Arabidopsis thaliana: one gene and its partners. Each later gene encodes a partner of the first gene's protein in a complex. Each region holds a gene or a part of one and is shown in the gene's direction. Other genes may lie near its edges. The genes, in order: EMB3126, AT1G29070, emb2394 and PSRP6.

What was found.
Region 2: EMB3126 (region 1) and AT1G29070 share a complex: the UniProt entries of both Arabidopsis thaliana proteins name them as parts of the 50S ribosomal subunit.
Region 3: EMB3126 (region 1) and emb2394 share a complex: the UniProt entries of both Arabidopsis thaliana proteins name them as parts of the 50S ribosomal subunit.
Region 4: EMB3126 (region 1) and PSRP6 share a complex: the UniProt entries of both Arabidopsis thaliana proteins name them as parts of the 50S ribosomal subunit.

Annotation. Positions count from the first base shown.
Region 1 is NC_003074.8:23,442,259-23,447,059, forward strand, and holds EMB3126 (Ribosomal protein L1p/L10e family), read left to right. Parts: upstream 1-1,944; 5' UTR 1,945-2,010; coding exon 2,011-2,340; intron 2,341-2,414; coding exon 2,415-2,594; intron 2,595-2,686; coding exon 2,687-2,741; exon of another isoform or gene 2,742-3,002; coding exon 3,003-3,130; intron 3,131-3,257; coding exon 3,258-3,341; intron 3,342-3,410; coding exon 3,411-3,536; intron 3,537-3,624; coding exon 3,625-3,762; 3' UTR 3,763-4,072; downstream 4,073-4,801. Other genes in the region: AT3G63480 (ATP binding microtubule motor family protein), read right to left, coding at 1-31, 185-218, 302-343, 420-513, 586-611, 694-816, 904-933, 1,040-1,083 and 2 more; TTA2 (fibronectin type III domain protein (DUF1423)), read right to left, coding at 4,073-4,638. UniProt on the Arabidopsis thaliana protein: This protein binds directly to 23S ribosomal RNA.
Region 2 is NC_003070.9:10,148,041-10,152,036, forward strand, and holds AT1G29070 (Ribosomal protein L34), read left to right. Parts: upstream 1-1,750; 5' UTR 1,751-1,843; coding exon 1,844-2,057; intron 2,058-2,855; coding exon 2,856-3,115; 3' UTR 3,116-3,367; downstream 3,368-3,996. Other genes in the region: AT1G29060 (Target SNARE coiled-coil domain protein), read left to right, coding at 2-125, 563-619, 1,258-1,419. UniProt on the Arabidopsis thaliana protein: This protein binds directly to 23S ribosomal RNA.
Region 3 is NC_003070.9:1,501,589-1,505,729, reverse strand, and holds emb2394 (Ribosomal protein L6 family), read left to right. Parts: upstream 1-1,876; 5' UTR 1,877-1,991; coding exon 1,992-2,026; intron 2,027-2,468; coding exon 2,469-2,768; intron 2,769-2,878; coding exon 2,879-3,215; 3' UTR 3,216-3,479; downstream 3,480-4,141. Other genes in the region: GLR3.4 (glutamate receptor 3.4), read right to left, coding at 1-88; AXR1 (NAD(P)-binding Rossmann-fold superfamily protein), read left to right, coding at 3,955-4,040, 4,133-4,141. UniProt on the Arabidopsis thaliana protein: This protein binds directly to 23S ribosomal RNA and is located at the aminoacyl-tRNA binding site of the peptidyltransferase center.
Region 4 is NC_003076.8:5,905,979-5,909,192, forward strand, and holds PSRP6 (plastid-specific 50S ribosomal protein 6), read left to right. Parts: upstream 1-1,610; 5' UTR 1,611-1,769; coding exon 1,770-2,159; 3' UTR 2,160-2,486; downstream 2,487-3,214. Other genes in the region: CSA1 (disease resistance protein (TIR-NBS-LRR class)), read right to left, coding at 2,896-2,957, 3,094-3,214.

The DNA of each region.
Region 1 (4,801 bases):
CAGTGGCTTCTACTGCTGGACATATTCATTTCTGTCATTCATTGTTAAACTGGAAACATTCTTCAAGATGACTCTCAATCAGTTTTAACCTTTCAGTCAACTCGGAGTAGCATAATCATAATCTCACTATCGACTAAATGGGGAAACATTGAACAAGTAAGTGCTGTAAAAGCTAAGAGGATACGGGTTTCCCCAACTGCGCGGTTAGCTAAACCGGTCTGAAATGGCAATTGGCATCAGAAATAAGAAAGAAGAAGGCCGTATAAGGCAATTAAGAAACTTAGGGTAGCTGCTATCTTACGCATAGATGTTGTAATGCCTCCACCGAATCTGATACAGGCACCTGAAGCAACGAATGATTAAAACTTGCCTACCCAGTAAAGATTTTTCTCAACACTAGCAAATAGAAGATATAAGACAATGAAGCTAGCCTCTGTAACGCCTGACAAGAGTATTCCTTGTGTTTTGTTCTCCTTGATCTGTATGTTTGCTTTTGATAAGTCCAACAGGTCCCTGAGAGATATATGAATTTATCGATAAGCTATATACCCTAGAAGAAATCAGAGGGAATTACATACACAATACCTGACTTTCTCCATGTAGATCTCAACCTAGAGGAGACAAAAGACACGTAAGATGTCTATACAGGAGAGCTTGAAAGGAGACTTATAGCAAGTGCATTTAAGTCAGTACCATAGACAATTTAACAGTGTATCTTGCAATATCATTGGAAGAGCTGATTTGCTCAAACATCCCATGGACCACTCTTGGAAGAAGTCCTTTATTGTGCTCATCACAGTCCTGGATGCCTGGTCCCTGAATCAATCGAAGAAAACCAAAATGAGCCAGAAGAAGGAATGGTCCTTGTGCTACAGGAAGAGGTATCAAGATGAGTTAGGTGACCTCCATGGAATAAGTCTTCCCAGCCCCTGTCTGCATAGTATAACATGAAACGATCAAATTGAGATCAAAATCTGCCAAATTAAGAAAAAGACATTGAAAGCATTTCCAGATAAAAGAGATCAGGAGAAGAACAAACCTGTCCATAAGTGATGATTGTTCCGTTTATACCATTTACAGCGTCTGAAAGTAGTAGTAGTAGTACAAAGGTAAAAGATGCAAAAGACAAAGGTAGGAGGAAACCAAAACCAAAAATGTTGATTACATTGTAAAATCATAAGATTGGTGCTCAAATGTTTAGATCTAAAATCCAGAAGAGAAGATCAAGGAATCAATTAGTACCTCTCATGATGGGGAGAGCCAGAAACTCATAAACCGCAGCTTGGGTAGAGTCCTCATAAAAAACTCTATCGAGGCTAAATGTAAATTCATCTTCCTTGTCATCCTACACGCAAGTAAAAACGCTAGATAGAGTTTGAGAGACAGAGAGAGAGAGACAATATTAATCAAGCACACGGCGTCGAGTAGACAAACTTGGAAAACGAAGGTTTCAGCGTCGATGGGTCGAGCACAGACACCATCTCTGCTGGGATCGCGCATCTCTTTAGAGCTTCGCGGCCTGAATCGCGCACAGACGGTTACGTTAGACATCTCCTCTCCTTATCGGAACGAGCTCAGTCTACAGTGAAACACCCAAAATGAGTCAGCAGAAGATGAATGAAATTGGGGAAATAGTAGCACAGGAAATTTGAAGCTGAGAGAAAAGGAATCGGAACTTACCTCTCAAATGGAGTGGAGAGTCAGAGTAGGGTTTCTCTTACGGGCGGGAAAGAAGAAACTCGAAATCTGATTTTTGAGAAAAGAGAAGGAAGAAGAAGAAGGAGAAGGAGAAGAGGTCACGAGGATACGCGTGTGGGTTGTTAAAAGATCTAATGGTCCATAAGAAGACACGTGTCACTAGGAACACGGTAGCTAAGGTGCCCGCCACGCAGAGAATAATAGCTTAGAAAGAATAGGGGGTGTTGTTATCCCCTTGGGCGTGGAGTGGATTAGGGAGACTCGCACTCTTCTTCTTCTTCTTTGTACCCAGAAAGAAAGAGAGCTCCAACAATGGCTGCTTGCGCTACTCACTCCTCTCTCATGCTAGCATACGCCGCCGCATCCACTCGTTCCCAGGACCTTACCCCTACTCCATCTCTTTTCTCTTTTGCCAGCTCCAGACCCAACCACTTGAGCTTCCCGCTTCTTCTCCTTGGGGGTTCCAGGGACCGGAGATGTGCTGCTATTGACAGAGCTTCCAACCACAAGTTTATTGTCTCCGCCGTGGCCGCTGAGGCTGACCTCGACACGGAGGAGGACCTGGAGCAGACCGCCACCGCCGTCCTTGATCCGCCCAAGCCTAAGAAAGGAAAAGCCGCTTTGGTTCTCAAGAGAGATAGAGTATGTGCTTTACCTACTTCAATTTCGCTTCCTTTACTCGTGAATCATCACTTTGTTTGCTTACCCATTGACAGACAAGGTCTAAGAGGTTTTTGGAAATCCAAAAGCTAAGGGAAACCAAAAAGGAGTATGATGTCAACACTGCTATCTCTTTGCTTAAACAAACTGCCAACACAAGGTTTGTTGAGTCTGTTGAAGCCCATTTCCGTCTCAACATCGATCCTAAGTACAATGACCAGCAGCTGCGTGCAACGGTCTGCTTTGCCTTTTGCTGGATATACACTCTATCTTGTGCTGCTTCATTCCACAACATTTTTTAATCTCAATGCATTGTCTTTTTGTATAGGTGAGCCTGCCTAAGGGAACTGGCCAGACTGTTATAGTCGCTGTTCTTGCACAAGGTATATTGCCCCACCAAATTCACTGCTAGGACTTAGGACAGAGATTATGCTTTACCATTTCAGTCACCAAATTCACTGTTAGGACTTAGGACAGAGATAATGTTTACGGTATCAGTCAGTCAGTCAGTACTTCTCTAGATGCAACATTGTTTGGTGCGATTGACTTTTTATTTATATATTGATTGGATGGAGTTCTTGTGTATCATGTGGCTTATTCTTTCTAAATCTTTGGCTTGCACCATTTCCATGCTGAACTTCCAGGTGAGAAGGTTGATGAAGCCAAAAGTGCAGGGGCAGATATTGTGGGCAGTGATGATTTAATCGAACAGATTAAAGGAGGCTTCATGGAGTTTGACAAGCTGATTGCATCCCCGGATATGATGGTCAAGGTATGTGTTGATGATATAATGTTCTACTTGTTACAGCATATGAAACCGTCATGCTTGGCAAATAAGGTGGCATGAGATACTTGTAACTCGTGATCTATTTTCTAACATTCTTGAACTTGGCGCTTAGGTTGCTGGCCTGGGAAAGATTCTTGGACCACGGGGGCTCATGCCAAATCCCAAGGCTGGTACAGTCACAGCGAACATTCCCCAGGTAAGCCTACTCTGCAACATCTTTTCCTGATTCTGGTAGTCATGGCTTAAAGATGCATAAATCTCTCAGGCTATTGAAGAGTTCAAGAAGGGGAAAGTTGAATTCAGAGCAGACAAAACTGGGATTGTTCACATTCCATTTGGGAAAGTTAATTTTACAGAGGAAGACCTTCTCATAAACTTCCTTGCAGCAGTGGTAGGCTAATTCTCCATTCTTATTACGTATTTCTGTGGTTTAAAATACAAAAAAAAATGAAGAGGGAAAAGTAAATGATGAAATGCAGAAATCGGTGGAGACAAACAAGCCAAAGGGAGCTAAAGGAGTGTACTGGAAAAGCGCTCACATATGCTCGTCAATGGGGCCTTCCATCAAGTTGAACATAAGAGAGATGATAGACTTCAAGCCTCCCACTGCGAACTAATCGACAACGCCATTTGTAAATGGGGTCCTTTTGGGAGACGGGCAATGCCAGTGTAGACAGAGAAGAGAAACACCAAGTCTAGTCTGTTAGTAATCTTTTCACGCCTCACTGCTTTGTATCACTTTGATGGCCATTTGCTTCTTGTCGTTATTTATTTACTATTGCCTATTAAAATTTGGCAAGGGGCTGTACATGTCAGGACGCAGAACTCTTTAGTACTCTCTAAAAGAAAAGACCTTACATTGATCTTTAGGTTACATACGAGGAGGAGGTTTCTGTGTACATTACATGTGATTTACTACTACAAATATTACAAGGCCAGACTCTGCTTCGTCATTTCCATTTTGGTGAGAAGCCCTCTCATCTCTTCCTCCATTCTCATCTTCATTTCATAAAACTCTCTCTGCCCTCTCTGCATTGCCTCTAACTCCTCGTACCTCCTCCTCCTTCTCTCCTGTGCATCCTCCATACTCAACTTCCCCATTCTCCGATTGTACTCTTCTTCTATCTTCTCCTTCTTCGCTATTGCTATTCGTTTCAGTCCCTCTGCTTCTCTTCGTGCATCATCGGCCCGCCCTTGGAACATTTCTGCCTCTGCTTGCTTCATTCTCACAATGCTCTCTAGCTCTTCGAAACGAGGTTCCTTTGGTGAACCCCTTTCCAACTCCATCTCCACTGCACATATTTCAACTTGCCTCTCTCTGTGGAATGCATCAGCTACGCTCGCTGACCTTTTCAGCTGATTATGCGGGTTATCTGAGCACACCGATCTCAGCCACGCCGTGTCCTGACTAGGGCTTCCCCTCTCATGCCTGGGTTTTGGCTGTTCGTATATGAACGGTGCACTAGTTTCAGCAGGAGTGGAGGAATCACAGTCTGCAATCAACAGGCAAAGTATCGACAGATTGTTACAAGGAATATCTATGGCACATATATCACAAGAATTTAACCAACATGTGTTCACTGTGTGATCATCTATACTAAAACAGACTAATAAAGCCATATTTGATACCCAGATAAAGCTCACAATTTATACAAT
Region 2 (3,996 bases), on another chromosome or scaffold:
GAGAAGGGCTAAGCACTAGAAATGCTTCAGGTTCAGAGGAAATTCAGCTGAGGATTGATCCTATGCACTCTGACCTGGATGATGAGATTCTAGGTCTCCATGGCCAAGTCAGGCAATTGAAAAATGTAAGAAACCCTCTAAATCCCATTTCGATCTTTCTACTTTTTATCTATAGTGCCATTTGTATTGTCTTCTTGTGGTTCTGAAGGATCATTGTTCTCTTTAAGCTTTAAGTTGATCATATGAATTTGGAAATTTGTCTTCTTTTCGGTTTTGACAGTGGTTAGAGCTTGGTTAATTAGTTGTGTAGGTGTTTTTTTGTTCAGGGTACTATGATAATGTTATTGTTCACAATACTTATCAGTCAGTCCACGATTAATTAGTTGAATCCACTTGTCTGATGTCTTTTGTATACATCTGTGGTTATTGTTTTATATCACCACCCTTCTTGAAGGAATCAGTCGACATTCTCTACAATTCCTTGTGTTTTACCTTGCACTTTTGCGCATTATTTATCCCTCATGATTTTTTGTTATATCGTTGATCGCTTATTTTGATGCAGATTGCTCAAGAAATTGGGTCAGAAGCAAAGTCTCAGAGGGACTTCTTAGATGAACTGGTATGTTGTTGATGTCCCTTTAGTTTTTTCTTTATCCATCATAGTAAATTGCAATGTAAGCACTTAACATCAGTAACATGCATTCATTTACTCTTCTTTACCTTTAAGATGAATCACTGATTATATATAGTATATCCGAATATCGGTTTCCTATAACTTGTTTCAGATGTCTCTGTTCATTATTAGTTGGGAAAATATAGTTTCATCCTAACATATGTTAGATAACTTTAACCGTAGCTTACAAAACCAATGAATCTTGATAAATCCAAAGTGTAGATTATGTTTACTTAGGATCTGGTCTGAACGCTGGTGGTGGGTAGGATTAGATATCTTCAATCTCACCTAGTTTGGTGAAATGCAGCAGGAAATGGTTACAGCTTATCATTGAGTTCCTGCCACTTTGTCAATGAGAATGTTGGTGTTGAATGTGTTCATTGCTTTTAGTTCGTTCTAGTTTTTTCTTTTGTTACCTAGAAGAACATCCTAGAGAAGATAATGACAAACAACTAGATTTGGTAGTGAGACTGCAGAAACAAGCATTTAGTGCTGTTATAAGCAAAATAAAATAAGTAGACGAAATGTTGTTCTTGTCTGAAACATAAAACGCTTCAATGGTATTTTGTTTTTGTTTGTGACAGCAAATGACATTGATCAGAGCGCAAGCAGGGGTGAAGAACAACATAAGGAAACTGAACCTAAGCATAATCCGTAGTGGTAACAACCACATAATGCACGTAGTTCTTTTCGCGCTCCTCCTCTTCTTTATCCTCTACATGTGGTCCAAGATGTTCAAAAGATAGATAGAGAGACTCATGGCATACTTGTGTTACCCCCCAAAAAAAAACCCTTGATGAATGTTGGATAAGTTGTAGAAAATATCCTCTAGATTACAAACATTTTGTGGTTCTTCTCGTTACCTGTTATATAGAGTGCCTGTTTTTAACAGTTTACATGAAGCAAAATTGTATCACAGAACAACAGCATGAGATATTTTAGACCAGTTCAAATCTGGCCTTAACTTGATTAATTACCCGTCCGGTCCAATTCAGTATTGGGCTTTTATAGTCTTATGGGCTGAAGTGTCGTGATACGTGTATTATTATGGTTGGTTCTTATGCGTAAGTTTATGGTGGTATCGTCCGTAGACGATAGAGGTTCCACACTATGTAAAGGAGACCGGAGAAACAAAGGAACTGGGTTTGGAGATAAGAAGTGGGAACTTGAATGGCTTCCTTATCCACTTCCGTTGTAGCTTCGGCTTCGTCGCGTTTATGGAATCCTGCTGCCTCCAACGGCAAGATTTGCGTTCCTTCTGCTTCGCTTTCTCTGCGTACGGGTTGTAGACGGAGTTCGTCCTCTCTCACTTCTTCCGCTTCTTCGCAATTGCTTCATTGCTCGTTTCTCTCGTCGCCTGTTTCCCTAGCGTCTCCATTTTCTGGTACATCTTAAATTGGTTCGAATTATTGTTTGTGTTTAGCTTCTGGTGATGTAATGTATCAAGTTCTTTTACCCAATTTTGATTTTTTTTTCTGGTTCTTTGGGTTTGGTTGATTTATCACTATTCTCGTGTGTTAGGCTCTAGCTTACTTTGCAAACACATATATTCGAAGCTTTTTTAGAAGAATTTGGGAATTGTGAAACATAGTTGTCAATGGTGAATTCGATTTGGGAGTGTGAGTGAAAGAAGCCATTTTGTTTGTTTCTGATATTTCTTGTTAAGTTTATAACAACAAGTGAAGATAACATTTTGCAACTTAAGCCTCAATTTCTGATATCTTAGCTCATGTATTTGTAGCCGCAAGTAAATGTTGTTTGATTTTTAGTACAAAAATCTTTTAGCTCATGTCGATTATTTAGGTACAATGGTTATAGATTTGCTTCAATATGTCACATGAACTTGTTCCTCCTCCTTTGATCATAATTTTCTTGTAAAGTATATTGTACGACCATTGTAGCTAGGCTAAGATTTGAGCAGTGAATTATAAGCTTTGCCAATTTAGCAACAGACGTTATGGTTATAGCTCAAGAGTTAAAAGGGTAACCTAGGAGAATGCATTAAAGTCATTTTGGATTTGTCTGGGTCTTGATTCTGAGCAGTGTGTTGAGAGTTTGGTATTGTATGGTGAGTTCTTTGGGTAATTAAAGGAAGGAGTTTACCGGTTCCAATATTATCAGCTTGATACACTATCAAACCTATAATGTCACATTGATCAAAATGGTGTTGCTGTCTTTTCAGGTTTGTCCATTGCGTTTGATCTCAGCAGTCAAACTAGTGGACTGAATGGCCAGAGACGCAGAGGCCTTGTGGTTAGAGCTGGAAAAGCTGCTCTGTGTCAAACTAAGAGAAGCAGATCAAGAAAATCTCTAGCTAGGACTCATGGTTTCCGTAGAAGGATGAGGACCACTAGCGGTAGAGCAACCATAAAGCGTCGACGTGCCAAGGGACGTTGGAACCTCTGTCCCAAGTCCAACCCTAGCAGCGGCAAACGGGCTTGAAGTTTGTTTCTCTCTTCACTCTATCTGTAATCTTGTTTCATGTGCTTTTTTTCCACCAGAAGATACAATGAGAAACATGGTTCGTTGAGCTCTTTTCTGCGTTTTAACTCTCTTGCATCCTTGATTCGTTTATAAATCAATGTTCTTGGAATTCATCACATGTACTACTATACTACTTGCTTCATTGAATTTGTTACTACTCGAAGTCTCAACTTCAAAGCCATAATTACTTAAAGATCTCTTCTGGCCACCAGGATAATTCTGGTGTGTAAGAATTGTTCAGATTCCAAGTAGTGTTAATGGTTGCTGAAAGTTGATGTATATAGTTTGGGGTTCAATCCCTGAAGGATTTTACTTTCATTTACTAGTTTTATTTCAACCTAACAATTACTTTTAAGTACTAACCCTAAATTATATTCCCCTTAAAAAGAAAACTGCACCAAAAACAAACTAGTTAAGAAAAATGAAACCAAAACTAAAAAAGAAAAGTTCCTTCTTATTGGAAATTAGGGAGGGATCAGATTGTGTAAAAAAGAGAGCGCCCAATAGTCGTAACAGGCTTTGGGCGGAACGCTCTTCTCGCAATATAAGCGAGTTTTTACCATTCATCATATCCCCTTTAACTTGCCTGAAGGATCATGCCTTTTACGTAATTAGCTCTTTCTTTTTTATAGGCATGTTACTACCATCACTATCTCTACCTAAACGATGTGGGACAAAATAAACTATTCTCTTGTTTGAAATAAGGTTTCTTATCTCAAATTCATATATCTTTGTTTTTTAAAGTGGGTCTATAAAAGGCCTCTGTAGCTCTCTTTTTTTAAGGTGGGCCGATAAAAGGCCTCTGTATCCTTTTTTTTTTTTTTTTTTTTTTTTGTCTA
Region 3 (4,141 bases), on another chromosome or scaffold:
GAACAACCCACAAGACAGAAACACATAACAACACAACTCTGATTGCTTTCGCCATGGAAACTTCTCTTATCATCACCAAAAATCCCATCTTTATCACAATTTCCAGCAAAAGCACTAGTTTTTCTTTGTCCTGGTCTCATATAACCATTTGATTTATTTGGAGTAACACCTGCGAAATAAACAATGCCCAACCTGAATCAAAATTGAGATTATAACAAAAGACAAAAAAGATGGTCCAGAAATCTGGTGAAAGAAGGCAAAACCAACCAAGAAATCGGGAGTTAGATTCTGTAGAGAGATTGGTGTATACAGATTTTTGTGTCTGTATATTTATTTATAGTGTATAAAATAATGTATTTATATGAGGCCCTTTGATTCTAGAAACTGGTGCTTTACATGTGCAAGTAAGAACTGAAAATAATGAAGTGTAAGAGGGCCGTCTTAAAGATGGTTCGCAGAGAAAGAAGCAAAAAGTGTAATAAATAATTCAATGAACAAATAACTAAAGATTATATATGTAAGAACATAAAGAAAAACAAAAATTAAAAGATCCAATTGAGAAAAAGAAGAAGCAACCTTGGAATAAATACGAGAAACAAACTTTAATCAGAGATCCATAATCTTCACAAGTAAACGAGTGATTTAGCACTAAGCATAAAGAAGAAAGACAGAGAAAAGAAGTCGAAGAAGCAGAAGAAGAACTGTTTCTGAGCTCAAGCAAAGAATAATTCATAATATTCTCTCTCCTTTTTTTTCCCTATTTTCTTCCTTATCATTACTTATTTTTTTGGTATTTTATGAAATTTTGTAAATTTTGTTTTGGAGTGCTATTTCTGGAGTGGTCAGTGAAGACGTAGGCCAAGGTGTGGGGTAGTATGATCGATGCTTTACTTGTGTCCTCATACTATTCGATAAATCAAATTTTTACGTTGGCTCTTATTGGTAACTATCATTTATTAAGGTAGTTGATGCATTTTTCTTTTTGGTTACAACGGATATAGTTAAATGGTAATTAGGGTAACTACGTATGACATGAGGCAAAATAATAATTGAAAATGTGAATGTGAGGAGTGACGACCTAATTGCTCCAAGGCCGCCTTCGTCAAAGAATAAGTCTCCTCAACGGTTGTCAAATCAATTTCACACAAAAAAAAAAGAAAAGAAAAAGATATTTTCAGACATAAATAGTAAAGTAATTGTACTATTGATTTCATATGATAAAAGGTGCATGAAACACATGGTCGACTATTTTTTGTCTTTAGAGTGTTCATTAAGGAATGTTATTAAAAAAAACTTATAAGAGCTGCATTTGTTATTACATAGTTCCTTATTGAAATTTTCATTTGTTAATTGTTAACACAAAATAAAATATGCCACTGAATCCACAAATATCTTGTCGGTATCGAACTTTTTATTTATTTAGAACAAGAATATCTTGACCAAATGAAATGTGAACCAGGAAAATAAATATACAGTTCATCTTTTTTTTCTTTGAATCTTCTCAATTTGTTGTTTGGATTTTTCTGAGGGTAAGGGCCCATTTCATTTTTAAATTTGTCTGTTAAGAGTAGTTTAAAATCCATGCCTTTAAAAGATTCGACTTGAAAACATACTTAATCGGGAAAGATGCACAATTTTGATCCAAACGCATCTACTAATAATCTATTGACTTCATTAATCTAATCCAAACTCCACGTTCATTGGGTAAATTTTGTGAACAGTTATTATAATAATGGGCCTAGAAACAGTGAGATAATAGGCCATGATCAATATAGATAAATGGGTTACACAAATAATGAATTGTCCCACAGAAGGATGGTTAAAAGTAATGGGCCGAAAATAGTGAGCTAATGGGCCGTGAAAGTAATGATTTGAAAGAGGGGATTACAGAAGCTGACGATGGATAAGTCTTTTCTGGATAAAACGCTCTTCTTCTTCTCTTCATCCTCCTTCTGGAGCAGAGCTTAGAGCTCCATCATCAAATCTTATCAATGGCTTCCTCACTCGTCTCATCTTTTCAACCCAGGTACTTTTCATATACTACAAACCATAGAGCTTCTTCATTCCGCTAGGGTTTCGTTTTCTTTACTTGGCATTTTCTACTCAAAAATCTCTATAAACTGTGTTCATGAGCCTCCCAAGTATAAGGAATCTCTTTGAATGGGTTATTTTTATCTTTTTAAATCGATGGCAATGTTGAATTGGTTATGGACTCTTGAAATTGTGGATTTTTATTTTGGGAATTTGAATGTGTTATGCGGAACTCACTGTGTAAAAAGCAGGATTCTAGAGGGGTTTTTAGCCATGGAAACTGAAAGTTCTACAAGAATGTTTCTCTTCCTTAATCTAACGTTATCTTTGTTCCAATAACAGTTTCTGTGTATTGGTTTAGATATATATCTGGTAGAGTTTTACTTTCTTGACATGTTTTATCTGAAGATAGATAGATAACTTCCCCTTTGTTTTAGGTCAGCATTTTTGGGAGATAGAAATGTGTTCAAGGTCTCAAGCACACCTTTTGCTCAAGTGGGTTACTCCAGTAAGACCATTGAGTGCAAAGAATCAAGGATAGGAAAGCAACCGATCGCTGTACCTTCCAATGTAACCATTGCATTGGAAGGTCAAGACTTGAAAGTGAAGGGTCCATTAGGAGAGCTGGCTTTAACTTACCCACGCGAAGTTGAGCTTACAAAGGAAGAATCCGGTTTCTTAAGGGTCAAAAAAACCGTCGAAACTAGAAGAGCCAACCAAATGCACGGCCTTTTCAGGTTACAAACTTCTCATCTTTTCTTGTCATCCAATGAAGTCCTTAACTTTTTTGAGGTTAAAAGATCGTTTGTTCTCTAATCTTTTTTTTTAACTTCTGTGTGACTTTTAGGACGCTTACCGATAACATGGTTGTGGGAGTATCAAAGGGATTTGAGAAAAAGCTTATACTTGTGGGTGTTGGTTATCGTGCAACAGTAGACGGAAAGGAGCTGGTGCTAAATCTCGGGTTTTCACACCCGGTGAAGATGCAGATACCGGATAGTCTGAAAGTGAAAGTGGAAGAGAACACAAGAATCACTGTGAGTGGATACGACAAGAGCGAAATCGGGCAGTTTGCTGCAACGGTTAGGAAGTGGAGGCCACCAGAGCCATACAAGGGGAAAGGAGTCAAGTATTCCGATGAGATAGTTCGGAGGAAGGAAGGAAAAGCTGGAAAGAAGAAATGATCTTCATTTTTCATTATTATCTACTTACTTATCTCTTCCTTTCAATGTTTATGTGTATTTGCTCAAATTTGTTTAGAAATGAAGATGTTTGTGTTGGGATTCTTGAGTAAGTTTTTAAAGGAACCCATTAATTGTTTTTGATGCTCTGACAAAAATTTCTTTAGTGCTTTGATTGAACAAGAACTTGGGCACAAAGTGCCTCATCGGTGTGATTCTATTGTTATGTTTCCTTATTGAACCAAACCAATCCAAATCGGACAAAAATCATGGTAGATAAACTTTTTAAAACAATTTTTTAATCTATTCTTCTTTTTTTTAATTACAAATTTTCTTATTTTCTTATATCTAAAAAATCGTAACAGTAAGATATTAATATCTGTATTCTTAATTTGGTAGATAACTTTTTAAAAAACGAAAATTTCCTATAAGAATAATAATAGTCGGAAATAAAACAAAAAACAATATCATGGTGATTATTCTTATTTGCTTATATCTTCTTCTTTTTCACAATTTTTTTTTAAAAAAAATATTTACAAAATTTTCTTATTTGCTTATATATATAAAAAATCAGTAAGATATTAATATCGATTTTTTAATTTGGTAGATAACTTTTTTCAAACGATAAATTTCCTAAAAACAATAAAATATTCGGAAATAAACAAAAACCCTGATTGAAGAAAAGTCTTTTTGTTTATCAGTTCACCGGAGGCAAAAATCGTCTCTCGCTTGAGCTGCGAAGATGCAAGCAGTAAAAAGATCCAGGAGACATGTTGAAGAAGAGCCAACAATGGTAGAACCTAAAACCAAGTACGATCGTCAGCTCAGGTATACATACTCTTTTTCCTTAAACTCTACTTCGAACTACTCTTGTCGGGAGGAAAATTGATGAAGTAGTAATCGTTGGGTTGACTGATTAGGATTTGGGG
Region 4 (3,214 bases), on another chromosome or scaffold:
CTTACCTGTAAATAGACTAATATTTGTTTATATAAAACCATCAAATAATATTGTAAACAAATATATATATATATATGTATGTATGTGTTATATATATGTATGTATGTGTTATATCGTGTATAACTATTTAATTTGTTTAATTCACTTGTTCGATTGTATCTTCTTCTTAAACTTAAATCATCTTTTGGTTATATGTGTGTGTCTAATAACTATGTAATCTTTCTTTCAATTCTAATAAAATAAAACAAGATGTTAAAAAAAAAAAAACTATTTAACTATCCATGGTTGATGACTCGTACTTAAGACAAATAATCAAATTTCGTGATTCTAAAAATGAATGAAATTGATTGATATATAAGTGGGATTAGAAAAAAAAGAGTCAGATAAGTGTTATCTCGCGGTTATAATTTCAACGGTGCTAAGATAAGGATAAGGTTTGCGAAACTATATACTAATGCAACAATGGGTACCGTAGGTTTGTGATACCTAATTTGATCTAACCAACAGAATCTCTTCGTACTAGTGTAATCGAGTGGCTGAGCTGTTGATATAGAGATACGTAGTACTATTATTGTAAATAAAGAACCCAAAGAATCAAATTTGTCGACAACAAAATAAGGGGTGATAATCCGATGCACGTGGATTTGGTGAATGTATTGGATAATGCTAGTCACGTAGAAGAAAGTAATCTTATTTTGGGCCATAATTTTAGTAAATGTTTTTGAGTCTACGTAAAGAAGAGTAATTTTCATGGCAATCGCAATTTTCGCTGACAATTGATTATTTTGATATAATGTGAAATTGGTTAGGTTGGTGATAGTAGCTAGTTTGAAGCCTAACTTAGGCTTGTTATTGAGGTATAATACATTATTAACCATAAGTATTAGACAGGTTTTGGACAAATATATTTATTGGTCGCTTTGGCAGCATTGAAAAACCCTAAAAGCCACTAGAATGGATGTCTTCGAATGTCAGTTCACATAAATGTTCGCTAGCTTAATTTTATTTTCTTTTTTAAAAGAGAGGAAGCAATGATAACATAAACATTTTTATAGTGTTTTTTTTGAAACAAAAAGTTAGTTTTCTTCCTCAAATTCGATAACTAAATTACACCATAAATGAGAATATGTTTTTAGTTAAGTAGTTAAATCCATTTGATTCTACCTTTTTTACCAGAGTTTGACTCTACTAAGTCGTGTTACTTCGCATAATAAGGATTGACTATGAATCGTGTCTTGTTTATAAAAAAAAGAAAAAAAAAATTACACAACAAAGTTAAGAAAATTCAAATTTATTAATTTAATAAGCATACTTTGAATATAAATAAATCCTAAAACTCAAACTAATAAAAAAAGTATTTTTTTGTGTAGTATTAAAAGATGCAGAATCCGAAATAATGTATTTTATTGTAGAAGTGATTCAAAAGACCTTATCTCGTAGTCACTTGTAGCATTATTGGTTTAAGGTTAAAGAAAACATTTAAAACTCTGTATACATCATACATGACATCTTTACAAATTGCAAAATATACATTTTTAATCAGCTACTCTATTCTTAAATTCCTTTAATTAACGAGGTTATACAGTTCGATACGTTTAAGCAACAAAAAGTTCGATGCCACTAATAATTTAATTTTTGTTCTCTTCTTATCTTATAGATTGTTGCAGCCTGCAGGCTTGCAGCATAACGAGTTACATAACTATATACAAAGGCCCAATAGACACCTCAAAGGCCCAATAAAAAAGCCCAGGAAAAACGAAAACGAAGATATGAAGTTCTTCTCTAATCCGAAGCAAGAGGCTCAAACTCACTTTCACTTGCACAAAGATAAGGAAACCATGTCTGTGTCAGCGATCTTTGGTACCGGAATCGTCACCGTTGCTGCTTCTCCGGTTCTCCGCCAATTTCAAGTTCCAAAATTGGGTAATGGAGGAGGATTAGGGATGGTGATAGAGTGTTCGTCGAGGCCACAGAAGAAATCGACGGCTCATCACAGGAAGACGAGGCCGAAGAAGACTCAGCCTTGGGACATTAAGAGAAAGCCTACTGTTTACGCTCCTCTTCCTCCTCTTCCGGCGGAATGGAGTCCGTTCACTCTCGCTTCTGACGACGGTGGTGCTGCCACTGCTGCGGGAGATTTGGTTTCAGGCGCTGCCTAGTTGGTATGAGTTATCTGCTGATTTGGTTGTAATCTAGTTTGAGAACTTTTGTTGTTGTTTACTGTGTTTTCAGTTTTCTGATGTTTGTTGTTGGGTTTGTTTGTGTTTGATTGGTGAATGAATGGACCAAATTTGCGATTTATAAAGCTTCAACCTTTCTCCTCTGTTTTTGAGTTTAAAGGTCTCAACTTTATAGTTTATAGCTCTCGTCATTGTCATCTATGTTGCTTCTCTATAATTGCTTTTTTCCTTTTGGGTCTCATTAATTTCTGCAAGTAGTAATTGAATTGGGATGACAAGAGTTTAAGTTTGATATGTGAAAATGAAAGCACAATGGTATCTGTTTTGTGGCGGTTGATGCTGGAGTTGTTGTCAAATGCTCTGTTTGCTGCCATAGCAATGGGAATGTAGCTTCTAAAGAGTACGGTATAGTATACCGCATTATTGGAATTTTAAAATTTCCCTTTAGATTGGATTCAGGTGAAACGGCAATGTGCTCTGCTCACCATAGTGCAACACTTGGTCTAAACACTCTATTGTAGATTTTTAAGCCAAGTGATCTAAAGTGTGTTTGATGAAGAGTTTCAGCAAAAACATTTTTAGAAATGTTTATATCAGTTATGGGTTGATCACTCTGATTCTTGAATCTATCTTGTATCGGTCTAGTCCCAGGAGAAATTTAGAAGATCGATTTATCTTGCATTGCATGTTTATGGAGTCAATTCCAAGATCAACATCAATGGCTATACATTTCATAAAGCACGCATACAGAGTACATCCCGTTGAACCCATTAAACCCTGACACCTTAAAAGCTTAAGTCAAATCATCTGGAGAAATACACAATGAAGATACAAATACAGAGAGTTCGAAAGAATAAATAGTGTGAAAACAGAGGCAATCTATGAGTTTAACACAAAAGAGTGGAACCAAAACCAGTTTTTTGGGAAGAATGAGCTTCACTTGGGATGTTAGTGCTAGAGTTTTCAATGTAAGTCTGCCACTGGCCCTTTGGAGATTCATTACCTTTTGCTTGATCCTTGAAACAACCATTAGC